3 linked regions of the Bombyx mori genome follow. The protein of the gene in region 3 interacts with the protein of the main gene of each other region in a biochemical or structural test. Links are inferred from orthologs where the notes say so. Each region holds a gene or a part of one and is shown on either strand. Other genes may lie near its edges.

Region 1 (5,936 bases), on a different chromosome or scaffold from region 3:
TCATCCATTGTTCACTCACATGTTATTACTTTTAGTTTGTTGGTCTATTGTAATCTGTATTTTCTTATTCTCTGAGCTATGCTTGGTATTAATTTTCCACAGAATGTACAATCAAATGTTTGTGCGATCTGTACCCAGTTCAACTCCTAAACTGGTAATGGCGTTACATCTATTCCACATTCACACTACATAATATACGCTTACCCTATTCTTTACTTATCACATGCTCATTTTTGCATTCACAATTACTAATAAACGATTTCCAAAATTCGAAATAACGCAACGGTATTATTTGTAAACCAAAAAATTTATAGACATTCGCCTCATAGATTATACTGAACATTTGAAGTTGGTAAGTTATGATGATAATTTTTTTCCAAGTTTTCATGACACCTTATGCTCTTGGAATTTACAAGCTTGAAAACACGATTGAGGGGTGAAAAGCTATGTGGTTTAAGCGACATATTTGCAATTTTACAGGAGAGCCACTTAACGTTTAAAATTTGGAAAAAATATCATAACAAAAAAACGTCTTCGGCTATTTGAATGGAGTAAACTAAATTAAAGTTCTAAAACATCGAATTGTTGATGATGCCAATACCAAATAAAACGGATCTTTAATTACATAGGTAAATGTCGGGTATTAAGCGAAATGTCCCTTAAAACAAATAGCCGTTCAGCCCTCTATATGAGTTTGAGTCCTTAGAATAAACAAAAACTACTTATATTTTATTGAAGAAATAATAGTTTTCTAATATGAAGGGGGCTGCAAAAGTGCATGGTGAGTTGAGTTATATATCACTTTTTAAAATTAATCAATAGTTATGTAAAAACGCAGTAGTCAGGACATTGCTAACTAAATATTGTAATGTACAAAAGCACCAATGTTATTTAATTAATTCTTATTAGCTCGAATTCTAGAAAATATCTTTGCAGTTCTGCAGCCAATGTTGGAATAGTATTTGTATCACTCATTATCGGTATATATACTCCTGTAATCAATACACTGAATTACCTCATTAAGAAGGTAGACAAGGATGAGTATGACATATTATTATTCATATTATGACAGTATCATTAGTGATCTAACTGATCAGTATAAAATATGTGAATAACATACTTATTTAAGGGGGCATATCTTTATGAGAATTCTTCTCAAGAAGAGTCATCCAGTTAGGACATATTAACAAACTATAACATTAAGAAAACTTACAAGATTTTTCAGACTGCTCACATACATTTTAAAGCAATTCTAATAGTACAAAAACATGTAGTCTACATCTGTGGTAGGAATTCAATAGGAGTTGCGAATTTGAAATCTTCAGGGAACAGTCTTGCTGCGGATGGATACATCAATTTGTAAGACTGTCGGATCGTAACGTCCGCAACACCAGCAATATCGCCGATCTCTTTCTGACTGCGTTTGTCTTCTGATGCCTGAAATAGTAATAAAATGTATATAATATCTATATAAACATGTGGTCACGAGTGACTTCCACAATAAAGGGGATGTACAATGCTTGATAAAAATCAAATACACAAAATTGTGTCAATTTGCATATTTACAGTAGGAATCCTGCCCATTTATGACATGAAGCAATCATGTTTTCAATATTGAGGATATTAAAATGTCAATTACAAATTGAATTAAATATTTCATTATTGTCATTAATTCCTTAAGCCTACAATGATGAAGAATAGGTTATAGTAGAATAGTAATAAATTTATTAATATACCTGTGAAGCCATATAAATGGCAGCTGCAGCAACTGAAATAGGACTTCTTCCAGACACTATGTCCAGCTCTCCAGCTTTCCTTGCGATATGTGTAGCTGCGCGTTGCACTGAATTTGGCAGACCCAAATTCGAGCAAAACCGAGACATAAAATCTGCTGTTGTAATGAGATCAACTGAAGTCTCCAGTGCTTTCAGAATCAATTTGAAACACCTTCCTATTTCTTTTTTACTTATCTTGCTGACGGCACAGATCTCTTTAAATGTACGTGGCACACCTTCTTGACGACAAGCAATGTAGAGGCAAGCTGAAGCTATAGCATCATTGGCACGACCCTTCAAGTTTTTACCGTCGTGAACCTGCAATATGATGGAATGCAATGCAATGAAAAATCTAATTTTTAAAATTCAACCTAGTAGGAATTTTACCTAAGAAAATTAAATTCTACTTTTATTAGAGGTTTTTTTTTTGTTATCCTTTCAAATTTTAGTGTGACTATTGAATTGTCTTGAACATTTCTGCTTCCAAATAGGTATTGTATTGAAAAATAAAAAAAAACCTTTAGAATTTGAGGTGCTATTCATTTGAATTCACCAGCTTAAAAGAGAGAACACATACAAAAGTGCTTAATCTCAAATGAGATGTGAAACATTTTCATATTTATGTATTATAATACTCTATGTATGTATGTATTAAAATATAGATATTGTTATGTAATCCTAGGTTTGTCTAATAAACATACTTAGTTTATACATAGTAAATATAGTATAACAATCAATGCACATACTTTCTTTTCTGCATCAACCAACAGAGAACGACTTAAATGTTAACTTAGCCAATATACATTAATATGCAAGAATCAGTACATAACATAAATAAATAATAAAAATAATAAAATAAACGATCAATTCATAAAAAATAACAAGTTTTTCTGTTGGCAATCTCAATATGATGCCATATCGACAGAATGCTGAATCTCTTGGTTGATTTAGGATAGCTATGGGAAAGATGGGATAATACTATTTTATGGCACAAAAGAGTAACATATTTAGATGTTTGGATACTAGAGTACTAAATTTACCTGTTTAAAAAGATTGTTTGCTCTGTCCACAATAGTTTTTGGAAGATTAATTCTATCCGCCATTGTGTTGATTTCTCGGAATGCATTGATTAAGGCTCTATCTGTGCTGCTTATGTTTCTTCTATTTTGATATTTGGAAACTCCAAAGCTGTCAAATGATGCATCTCCTCGTCCTGGCCCAATGATAGTTGACAAATCACCTCCAGATAAAAGTGGGTTTTCAGGACCACCAACACGAGACGGATCTACTCCAGACTTCTCATTGCTAAAAGTACGCCACTCCGAACCGACGTCTATGACTCTGCAAGGTAAGAATTTTTTTACTAAGAATGTAGCAATTTAGAATGTTTCTTTTGTCATTTTTATGTATCAACTCCAAAATTTTTCAAAGCACGAAAAATGCGTTTTGTGTATTAAATATTCTGTTCACTGTTACTTCAGAAAGTTCACTTAGCCTCCGTGAACTTCATAATATTCTTAAAGAATTCCCGTAACATTAATGTGAATGATATTCACAGTACAAATTGATTATATACCGACCTCGAAATATAGAAATCAAATGCGTCGCTATTGAAGTTGTTGTTACGACATGACAGTAGAATAGCGCGCGCGTTCCAACGTTTTGTTTCGCAAATAAAGGTACTAACTTACCTGTCTCCGACCACCAAACCGCATTCAGAACATATCATATCACCCGCTCTGTAATCCTCGATAAGGGGCGCATCAGGGTGAGCATAGCAAACCACTTTATTCGCCTCAATTCTAAAAACACAAACAAAAGTAGGTTCACAATCTAACAAGTAGAAATCGTATGCTATTTTAACGCGATTTTAAACACCACTTAAGTACTATCACCAACTTACTCATCACGAATATCTATCGTATTGCTTATCGGCTTTGTATAAATGAACTAAGTCTCGGTTTAAAGCTAATATAAATAAAATAACACAGAAAAACAGACCTCGATGTACTCGCCATGGTGGTCAGAAAACATAGACAATACTCCAAATATTTTTTTAATGTCGTTGTCAATTTGAATACCATAAACACAGTTTTGTTTTATTCTTTGATCTTGACAGGCATGTGACATAGTAAAGGGTATTAAATCATGCACAAAAATGAGTAAACATTATTAAAGTGAAGCAGCGCTTGTGTCTAGTTTTTCCCCAAGTATCGTACTTTATTAGTGAATTACTTTGATAATAATGTGGTTGTTCTAAATTTAATGTAGGAAATTATTAGTTTAACTGCTAGTAGTGCTGCCATGCCAACTTGGTTTCTCAAATGCAAGGGATATTCAACAGTATGAAATAGTAGATTACGCATGATCAAAGACAGGTCCATGATATTATATAGTTCTGTAATTAATATGATCAGTCTCGCGTGGAGCAAGGCTCCATGGGCCGGAGTTCTCAAGTATCAAATTATTTCATGTGGGACCCCATATGAAATAATTTCTTCTAAGAAAGCTGTTTGGACTATCGTTTCCCCTAATATCACAAATATTTTAAAATACTTTCGGGCTTACACAGAAACTTCATTTCTGTCTAGGTGTTATAAATCGCGATAGCGATAGCGCGGAGCGCTCTTAGATATAATTTTTTTAATTACATCTTATTAAATTTCTATCTTCTTTAGAAATAATTATGCAAATACGAAGTAATTTAAATTCCCTATCTCGGTTTTTTAACTACCTGACTTCTTATCTTTTTTTCAGTATGGCAATCAATCATTATCCTCTTGCGATCCCAATGATGGGATCCCCCTTATGAACCCAGCGTCGAGCTTATGTCAATGTATAATAATCATAAATGATTAATAAATACATACATACATGCACAAAGTAATTTTTATATTAAAATTTAAATTTTGGTACCTAAATAAAAAATGAAATGGGGCGGAATGAAATGAATTTGAATTCTCTGGAATTGTATCATCAGCCTGGATAAAACTGAATAAAATTAAATGAAATGAATCGATATAAAATGAAAAATAAAAAGGTTCCAGTAAAAGGAATTTACTGAGACTTATGTGAACTTTTTGAAAAAACTCGAGGAACTATGTTTGGCTATTTTAATTCATTTCTCAACATTTATGCACTTTTCCAAATGTATACATAATTTTATAACAATACACTCATTAAACAATACCGGAAATACCGGTGCTCACACAACAATCAGAAAAGCCTCCGGTTTTCACGGCATGGCCGATAGATGTCGCTATATTACTCTCCACCGGAATCAGAGTTTTCATTACCTATAAACTTTGCATTTTTTATGGCTTTTGCAGACGGACGAGCATAAGGCCACCTGGTGGTCAGTTATTGACGTCGCTCATGGACATCAGCAATGTCAGAACCACAACCAAGTCGATGCTTACCGGTAAGTACTCTCCATAAGGCTAGTTTGAAGAATGAAGTCATGGGGCTCGTGAAGCACGGTGAAGGAGAGTTCATTTCGCAGTCAGAAGATACGTGCCAAAAAAGATCTCTGGACATGCACCGCCGATGAGCGTACTTGTGCCCGATCCAATAATATTGTAATACTATCTTATTTACCAGATACCAAATTACACTAATAATTGGCAGCACAAACGAGTAGGATGGTCCCGTGCATGCTTTCATTATAAATACTTTACCCCTAATTAGGGATGGGTAGGAATAAATTGCAAAAGTGAAGGCAACATTTTTTATCCATAAATATTATTTTGCTTGTCCTGACTGACTGATTCATGTGCACTTAAGCCGCTGTGGTTGCAAACTTAAAAAATTGACACAATTTTGTATTCTAAGCTTTGTACTAAGTTTTTTTTTTTTAGAAATTTCACTCGTCAAGTTGTAAAATGTAAAGGGTAAAGGTTAAAGTTGTACCAAATAGCTGTAGAACTCGGCAAAGAGCTCGACGTGCAACTTAACCTAGTATACACCTGACCTTGCTCAGTTTTTTCTTACCGGGTGAGCTTCCGATCCGGTGGTAGATGCATTGCGAAGCAGCTACTCTTGATCTGTTAGGTCTCTTCTAGAGCCACTTGGGCAGCCGTTAGCAAATCCCATTCCTCCTGGCTGAGTCCACCTGTCCTAGTGAAATTGGAAAAGTCGTTACCCCTTAAATACCCCTAACTA
Region 2 (5,627 bases), on a different chromosome or scaffold from region 3:
TAATTGTTATTTTTACTATGTATTTTCCTGCAATTGAGGGAGTATAGAATGATAAGAACTATTTGTTACCTTTTTAACAATTTTCATAATCAGTGTATCATTTGTTGGAAAATCAGAATAAATTTAAAAAATAATAATTTGTTTATTGAATGTGATTTATTTATAGAAATCTCCTGGGCCTTTGACAGTAATTTCCGAAAATGTTGTATAGCAGCTATTTAAGGAAGGATTTTTTAAACAAACTTTTGTGTCACGAAAAATTAAAAAATTAAATATTTAATTACAAGAATATTTCAAGATAATTTACACACCAAACATAAAAGTATTAATTTTAATATTTAATCTATCGAAAATTGATCAGAATTTAGGATAAATTCAATTCATTTAATAGTTAATAACTAGTTAGTAGATGTTATAAGTGTCCTATTAAGGAAAATTGTTAAATTAGTTTACATGTTTTGTTTCTGAAATTCTATTCTATGAATTATTATTATGAAACTGAAATGTGGTTATGGCTGCCAAAGCTAGTTAGTTCCTCTGGGCAGCAGTAGTACTACCAGGTTTTATGCCAGACAGGCCATCTTTGATAGCTATGGTAAAAAAGGTAAGATTGTTTATCTTTACAGACCCTCTAAGACAACTCGTAAACTTGAAGGTACTAATTAGATGCTATTCTTGAGGCAGTAACAAATCGAAAGAGTGTCGTGAATTAATATATATTTATAACTTTATATACTTATAAAGGCGGACTTAAAGCCATAGGCATTCTCTGACAACCTACCTTAGGAGGGTGCAGAGATGAACCTTGTTAGGTGTAGTGTGATAGTGATATAACTTAAACATAGTAATATATGTATATATAACATACATAATATTTATAGATACAAATACTCGTACTTCAATAAATACATATACATAATAAATATTATCAAAGTCTAATCTAATATTTTCTCTAATACTAATCTAATAACTAATCTCTAATTAATAATATAATACGCCAAAGTTATTCAAATATATTTACAGTAAATTTAAATGGGCGTATAACTAGTGTTCGTATTAGTCCATATAGTTTTATCAGCGGCACACGCAGTGATAGAAAGAATTTATAAAACTTTTTTAAGAAATCACTTTTTGTCGGCCTACTTTAGTAATTCTGTCACGAAGCGCCTAGGTATTAAACTCAATTAAACTCAATTAATGTTTAGTTTATTCAAATTTTAGTATAATATTGCGTTATTTACCTCGAAGCGTCTTTTACTATTGTTGTGAATGTGTAACTTTTTGTAACAAAAACAAAAATCAATTCCGATGACACATTGACGTTTCTCTTTATTCGTTTTCATGTCAACGTTTAAGGGTCATTGACATCAAAACCTATAAACTCACAGTTTACCAATTTTAGATGTCTTACAAGCAATACTTTCGTTTTAGTCGATTTTTTGTATTTTCATTTATTTTAGAAACACTGTAAATTAATTAATTTGTTTTAACAGAAATTGTGGTAACCTGAATAACATTCAAAGAAAAGCAGTACATACCATCTTAATAAAGTTATTTAAAACCATGGATGTTTACTTTATTGTTAAATTAACTTTTTCGTTACAACTTCAGCCAAGTTAAATTGAGTAGATCAATAGGTAGTGTTTTAGTCCAAAATATATGTAATAACCGCTGCCTATTTTACCGTTTAACGCTATGCGAAACCTCATAAATATTTGAAATAGTCACTGGGTATGACTTTTCAAGTTCTTACAAAATTTTCTTTTTCCACTAAATTACGAAGTTTTAATGTGTGTTTCATTTCTAGCCATCCGACAATTGACCAAATCTTCAATGCTGTGGGTCGTGACCTCTATGGGATTTCAGAATCTCTCCGGTGGATTATCTTACGCCATACGTCGATATATTCTCGACGCTATAGATGACCTCAAATACGATAGTGTATTTGCGGTACGGATTTGGTCTGACCAGCGCAGGGGGACCTGCCCATCAACAACATCTAATTTCATTTAATTCCAATCCTCAATTAACTCTACTTCACTTTTTAAGCAACAGATATGGCGGGCATTGGCCTTTGGTACAAAACATTTTGATTTGGGCTCTTTTCTTTGCGTATTCAATAAATAAAAAATAAAAATTGATATTGACAGTTGACGTTTTAATTAGTGTCACAGTCTTCAGTCAGTGTTGCATTTCACTTCTTCCTATTGTGATTTTGCTGATAGGGTATCAATAAATTTCGCCGTTTCCAAGTGAAAACATAATTAATGTGAAATTTTTTAAAAGCTTTGTCTACACTACAATTAAAAATATCATATTCATACTAAAAGTTCGTTGAAAACCGCCAAAATTACGTCCAAAATGCAAAGCGTAAGTGCTCCGCGGGAGCCCACGCAACCAGTTTTAAGCACAACTTCAACTATATTAAACATGAGGGAAAAGGAGAAATACATAGAGGAATTCGACTTTCCCTTCTGCGACGAGTCTTCCAAATACGAAAAAGTAGCTAAAATCGGACAAGGAACATTCGGTGAAGTGTTCAAAGCGCGCGCGAGAAACAGTAGCAAAAAGTTTGTTGCCATGAAAAAAGTCTTAATGGACAATGAAAAAGAGGGTTTCCCGATCACGGCCCTGCGGGAAATAAAGATCTTGCAGCTCTTAAAACACGAAAACGTTGTAAACTTGATAGAAATATGCCGCACGAAGGCTACGGTTCACAATAAATACCGTTCCACTTTCTATTTGGTGTTCGACTTCTGCGAACACGATCTAGCTGGCCTGCTATCGAACGTGAATGTTAAGTTCAGTCTCGGCGAAATAAAAAAAGTCATGCAACAATTACTGAACGGACTTTATTACATACACAGCAACAAAATACTCCACAGAGACATGAAGGCTGCCAATGTACTAATAACAAAGAATGGAACATTAAAACTGGCTGACTTTGGACTTGCTCGAGCATTCAGCGTCGCAAAGTCTGGACAAGCCAATAAATATACTAATCGTGTTGTTACTTTGTGGTATAGGCCTCCAGAATTGCTGTTAGGTGAGTTTTTAAAACATATTATTTATTAATGAACAGTGTTTTTTTATGTAAACCATAATTTCTGGTAATAAGACAAATTGAGCTTGGATGAGTGGGCACCATTATTCTACTAACTCCTGTTGCTAAGTAGTAAGGCCTTGAAGTAAGCTCCCCTCCATGATGTTTCCCGAGAGCCTGTCTGTCGTCATGTCTTTCTTCAAACGAGGCTTGTGGAGAGTACTTCACGGTAGGCAACGGCTTGGCTTTGCTCCTAGTATTGCTGACGTTCATAAGCTACAACCACTCACCATCAGATGAGCCTTCTGCTCATCTGCCTACAAGAACATTTTTTTTTTTATCTAAAGCATCGAAGCAGTCATACATTTTAGTTTAAAGGAGACAAGTGTTATGTTATCTTTCATAGTGGGAGTGATTTTGAATAACTTATAACTAACATTTAATAACATGTAATAGTGAGTTGTCTTTGTCTGCTCATTTAGAAAAATATATGAAAAATGAGCTGTGGTGTGTTGTATCAGCTTTAACATGCCTTATTTAATTAAAGGTGACCGTAACTACGGTCCACCAGTGGACATGTGGGGAGCCGGATGTATCATGGCTGAAATGTGGACTCGCTCCCCGATCATGCAGGTTTGAAACTTTTCAAAGATACCGACCTGATTAAAACTACTTTTACAGTTTAATCTAGTTTTTTTTGCAAATCTAGTCAAAGGAAATAGATGCAGGGCCCTTGCTTAAAAATGCAGTAATAAGTTTTTGTGTTATCTAGTCAAAAATCACTGCTCTTGTAATGGGAAAGCATAAAATACCAAACCCTCTATTGAGTTTATTCAATAATAAACTTGCAATTTTATAATGATCACAAATTATATGCCATAAACCCCAAATTTAATGGAGTATTATTGGATAGACTTATTGGTTCAATGATGTTCATAGATAAAGGTTTACAATGAGTCACAAAATCTACGAATTATTTCTTTTCAAATTGATAAATTTTATTGTAATTGTATATTCTGTAGATATTTATGTTATTATTTTTAGAATATGTATAGAATAGTTTTAGAAATGACAGACTAAGAGGCTGAGGCTCCAGAAAGACAGACGATACACCACAGATCAGCAGTTAAAAAAAAAATTCTTGTCTACCATGGATCTTTGATTAGAAATGTAATATTTCAGGGTCCGACAGAACAGCAGCAGCTGATATTAATATCGCAGCTGTGCGGTTCCTGTACACCTGATGTCTGGCCCGGAGTGGAGAACTTGGATCTTTACAACAAAATGGAGTTGCCAAAGGGTCAAAAGAGGAAAGTCAAGGTGAATATGGAATTTAATCATTGAGATTTTTATATCTATTGGCTTAGTAAGACTGTTTGGTCAGAATCAGGGTACCTATGTACTCAATTGCAGTGTGGAAATAAGACATAATCATTTTTGAAAAAAAAAAAAGTTTTTTTTTTATCTTTGGCCGATAACACACATTCCAAGATGATATTTAAGGTCAAGGCTCAACACACTGCCTCATAAGTCAACATTTCATAGTTCATTACATATTTTCTTACAAAAACAATAAGTATTTTTGCCTACTGTCAACTAGTTATTTTATTTCTGTATCACCGTAGCCACCAAAAGCATTGTCAGCCATTATATAATTGTTATATCGGAATATAGGAGCAAAGAAACGAACATACATAATAACAGCCGGTTTATTATTGCACTGCACACTGCATAACACACACTGCAATAATACTATTGAGACTCAGATCTCATATCTCATGATGGGCGTCGAGAACATTTTGATGTTTGGTCCAGTGGGCATTTAACAATATGTGTACTTATTTTCCCATCTATGCCGCTCTCTCTTCACTGCATACTGTATATATTCATTCCAGCATCTCTTATATACTAATTAAGATTTGTATATAAACACAGGAAAGACTGAAACCATATGTGAAGGATCCCTACGGCTGTGACTTATTGGACAAACTGCTGCAGTTAGATCCTGCCAAGCGGTATGTATAATAGTTTACTTCCAGCTTACAATTTCTACAAGGAATTTATTCTATTAATGTTAATTGTTGATAGACAAGAAACTGGTTTTACCGGTGAAAGGACCTCTTGTGAGTCCGCACGGGTAGGTACCACCATCCTGCCTATTTCTGTCGTGAAGCAGTAATGCGTTTTGGTTTGAAGGGTGGGACAGCCGTTGTAACTATACTGAGACCTTAGAACTTATATCTTAAGGTGGGTGGTGCATTTACGTTGTAGATGTCTATTGGCTCCAGTAAGCACTTAAGACCAGGTGGGCTGTGAGTTCGTTCAGCCGTCTAAGTAATAAAAAAACAAAACAAAAATGGGATGGTATATTCGCTTGTATCAAATGATTCCGCATATTAACTCAATCTATTCTATATCTATATATATAAATGAATTGCTGTTCGTTAGTCTCGCTAAAACTCGAGAACGGCTTGACCGATTTGGCTAATTTTGGTCTTGAATTATTCGTGGAAGTCCAGAGAAGGTTTAAAAGGTAAATAAATATGAAAATGCTCGGAATTAAATAAAAATAACAAATTTGTTT
Region 3 (3,837 bases):
ATGTTTTTTTAATAAGCTTTTAAATTTAGCAAGTATAGGCTCACGTCTTATGTCCTCGGGTAAACTATTGAGTAAGTATGGAACACGTTTTTTTAACGTTCTATCTCCATAGTAATTTTGTACCTTGGGTATTTCAAATTTTCCTTTGGACATTGACCTTGTGCCAGTTTTATGTTGCACCAAGTTAGTTAAACGATCCTGTTTACTATGATTGTTTACAAGTAGAAGATATTTATGTTTCAGGCTAGCCGGTAAAATTTTACATATTTTATATAGTTTAGAGTAATCTCCTTTACATTGATTCTTTGTCTTTTTATTTACGAGTAATTTTAAAAATCTTGTTTGCATGATTCTATTTTATCTATGTATGTTTTAAATGTTAATCCATAGCAATCAAGAGCGTAACTTATTATGGAATCCACTAGTGCAAAATATAAACATTTTAGTATTGGCAATGGAACTTTAATACTTAAATAATAAAACTTTTCTAGTAATATTCTTAATTTTCCACATAAGTATTCTATGTGGGAATCCCAGGAAAAAGAGGTATCTATTTTTACTCCTAGGTATTTTACACAATTAACTTTTTCGATAGGATTACACGTGCAGTTAATTTTCTTATTGTGGAAGCAATCAAAGCTGTGGGCAATCAGAGGAGGCGGATTATCAATAGAACGTAAATACGGGGAGTGAATAATTATCATCTTTGTTTTGTCAGCGTTTAATATAATGCCGTTATCATGTGACCATTTAACTACCGCATCCACATCCTCTTGAACCCGGCGACACATTTCCGCGAGGTCGGTACTAGCGCTCAGAGTACAAAGGTCATCGGCAAACATGTGGGCGGAGCAGTGACGTAATACTCCACAGAGGCTATTTACGTGCATCAGGTAACACACGTTGGGAAACTGTATTAGAGAATAGGCCTCAGCGGTCAAAAATGGATTGGCTGTGCACTGGAGTCGCTTACGATTTATTATGACCTATGGTGACCATGGATGAGCCGATGCCAATGTAGCTTAGTGACAACCAACTAAAAATTAGTTATGAATCTTTTAATTTCGCGGTAAACAGAGATATTAATAAGCGTATAGTGACGTTAGAATTCTCATGTTCCTCATAAAATGAAATTCTTAGTCGCCCCTACCCTATTCTCCTAAACACGTAGCGTCGCCCTAATATATGGAACTTAAACACTAGGGTTGTCACTATATCACTATATATATAGTCATCTATATATATATCATCGGGCAAATTGTACGTATTAATACGCTTTTATTAGCTTCAGACGTATGTATGTTTGTAACGGAATCTTTGAACATGATTTTGACCCCCTTCAAAACGTCGGATTAACTCGAAATTTGGTATACTTATGAGAGACCTCGACAATTTAATATTTAAAAAATAATGAAAAAAATAATAATAGAAAAAATGAAAAATAAATAAGTTTACAATTAAAAAAAAATTTAAACTATTTTTAATTCAAATATATTAAAATTTATTTTCTACTTTTTATTTGAATTTTCTATAAAAGCGTGTTTTGTTAGTTTTTTTAAACTATATTTTTTTTGTTTTGTTTGTGCAGCGAATGCGGGGTGACGGAAGAGGCGGTGAGAAGGTACTTGGCGAGGAAGCCGATGACCACGACTGAGCTGCTCACCAAGTTCAAATCGAAACGCACCGGAGTCAGCAGCGAGCGCTTGGTCGAAACCATGACGCAGATACTGAAGAGGATCAACCCTTTGAAGCAGAACATCAACGGGAAAATGTACCTCAGCATTAAATGATCCCGCAATATATACATATATATATCGAGAGGCGAAAGGCTATTTAGTTGAATCCTTAGACTGCCGTGTAGGTCACCGGTGCCCTACGCGGCGCACTGAAGTAATTACGTGGTAGCACCTCTTGCGAATTTACACGGGTAGGTACCACCACCCGGCCTATTTCTGCCGTGAAGCAGTAATGTGGGCTGTGAGCTCGTCCACCCATATAAGAAAAAAAACAAGGGTTTCTGTTACTAAGCGGCTGGATTACCTAACTTTGCCTTGTTTTTTAATCTGTTTCTTAGTATCTTCGGATTCGTCTTCCCTAAAGTCTACTAGGTATTCCGGCGCTTTAGTAAGAAGATCGAAGACAGAAATCGACATAATTACTTTCGTGCGTCGCGTAGAGCGCCGGTGACCTACGCGGTAGTAGACGTGTTAAGCGACATTTCGTTTAATACACGACATTTACCTTTGTAATTAAAGGTCCGTTTTATTTGGTATTAGCATCAACAGTTCAATGTTTTTAATTAAACTTCAATTAAGTTTAATCCATTGAAATAGCCGAAGAAGTTTTTTTGTTATGATATTTTTTTTTCAAATTTAAAACTTTAAATGGTTCTCCTGTAAATTTCCAAAAATGTCTTTTAAACCAAATAAGCCTTTCACCCCTCGATTTGTTTTGTGAATACACGTTCTTGATTTTACGTAGGCATTTTTTAAATAAATAAAAGATGTAATTAACGTATTGATTGTTTTATTGAAAACATCGTAAATACTGTTGTTACGTACAGGAGGTTTTTGTTTGAGGCGATCGTGTAATTTTTGAAGTGAAAACTTCTTTAGAATCGTTGTGATTTCAAACCGGATGCAACGGAAAAAACGACAGGTAAGAGACACAAATACAAAAATGTGTAGGATGAAGCCAGCAAAGAATGAGACAGAAATATACATACTATTTAATACAGCGCCATCTGTGAGATTTTTTAATACTAACGTGTGTATGAAAGCTCTTGTAGTGAATTTAAATTTAGGATTATACGTGAAATTAAAATATCAATTCACAGAGGGCGCTACCTTACAATTATTTACTAATGACAAAATTTTACATATACTGAAGACGTTTAAGATAATTCTATTTTAATTTTGGAAGGTTTCACTTCTGCCACGTGTGAATTGCACACATCTTTTTTTTTTAATATATGTTTTTCTAAATAGGCAAATGAGCTCTCGGCTCAGTCATCATAAAGTAAATGAAACACACACACTGCCACAATAACAAATCTCACTCTGTTATAAGTGTTATAACACAAGAAGAAATCTTACTGTATGTTGAATATATGCTTGTTTATACAGGGTGTGTTAGAATCGTTTCTAAAAACAAACAGCGAAACCACAATGAAAAATATTTGATGATTTGCGTTTCCTTAGGTGATTTGGACTGCACGCAATGTAATATTTATTTATTAAGTTAACAAGATAAGATACAATAATAAATAAATCAATAAATATTTAATAACAATCACGCCACGTTAACTGGTCCCGTGCTAAGTTCGTAAAGAACTTGTGTTAATAACAAAGTTACGGCTGAAGATTTTTGAAGGCTCGGAAGGAAGGATTTTTATAATGAAGCTGTGATACATGTTCAGTTGTATCACACTTTTAGGGGAAATAAAACTATTTTTGTTTACATCTTTATTCAACAGATCTTCTTAAATGTGATAAGTCTTCTAATTCTTCATCATTTGCTGGTTTCCTGTGCAGAAAAGATATGAAATCAACACATTTTCTAAAGGCATCGTCTAACTAGACTTTATGAGTGCGATACCTTTCGTTAATATGTAAAAGTCTGCATTACTAAATACTTATTTCTATGATTAAATCTTTCGCTAATGTTTGATATGTTTTAGTTTTTCTGTACCTCTGATAGCGATATGCGATAGCCGATAATACTCGATTGATTAATTAAATTGGTAGGACCTTTTGTGAGTCCGCACGGGTAGGTACCATCGCCCTGCCTATTTCCGCCGTGAAGTAGTAATGCATTTCGGTATGAAGGGTGGGGCAG

What was found.
Region 1: the proteins of general transcription factor IIF subunit 1 (region 3) and transcription initiation factor IIB form a complex in vitro, tested with the Homo sapiens proteins (3 studies listed by BioGRID and IntAct). The link is inferred for Bombyx mori from reciprocal best matches to the Homo sapiens genes GTF2F1 and GTF2B.
Region 2: the proteins of general transcription factor IIF subunit 1 (region 3) and Cdk9 form a complex in vitro, tested with the Homo sapiens proteins (2 studies listed by BioGRID, with this or other methods). The link is inferred for Bombyx mori from reciprocal best matches to the Homo sapiens genes GTF2F1 and CDK9.

The regions. Positions count from the first base shown.
Region 1 is NC_085110.1:3,772,153-3,778,088, forward strand, and holds the start of transcription initiation factor IIB, read right to left. Parts: upstream 3,936-5,936; 5' UTR 3,860-3,935; coding exon 3,777-3,859; intron 3,578-3,776; coding exon 3,467-3,577; intron 3,117-3,466; coding exon 2,816-3,116; intron 2,094-2,815; coding exon 1,737-2,093; intron 1,438-1,736; coding exon 1,276-1,437; 3' UTR 1-1,275. UniProt on the Homo sapiens protein: General transcription factor that plays a role in transcription initiation by RNA polymerase II (Pol II). Involved in the pre-initiation complex (PIC) formation and Pol II recruitment at promoter DNA.
Region 2 is NC_085130.1:9,750,016-9,755,642, forward strand, and holds the start of Cdk9 (cyclin dependent kinase 9), read left to right. Parts: upstream 1-2,361; coding exon 2,362-3,046; intron 3,047-3,590; coding exon 3,591-3,676; intron 3,677-4,225; coding exon 4,226-4,363; intron 4,364-4,978; coding exon 4,979-5,058; intron 5,059-5,627. UniProt on the Homo sapiens protein: Protein kinase involved in the regulation of transcription.
Region 3 is NC_085121.1:15,702,678-15,706,514, reverse strand, and holds the end of general transcription factor IIF subunit 1, read left to right. Parts: intron 1-1,588; coding exon 1,589-1,790; 3' UTR 1,791-2,517; downstream 2,518-3,837. Other genes in the region: solute carrier family 22 member 3, read right to left, coding at 3,465-3,525. UniProt on the Homo sapiens protein: TFIIF is a general transcription initiation factor that binds to RNA polymerase II and helps to recruit it to the initiation complex in collaboration with TFIIB. It promotes transcription elongation.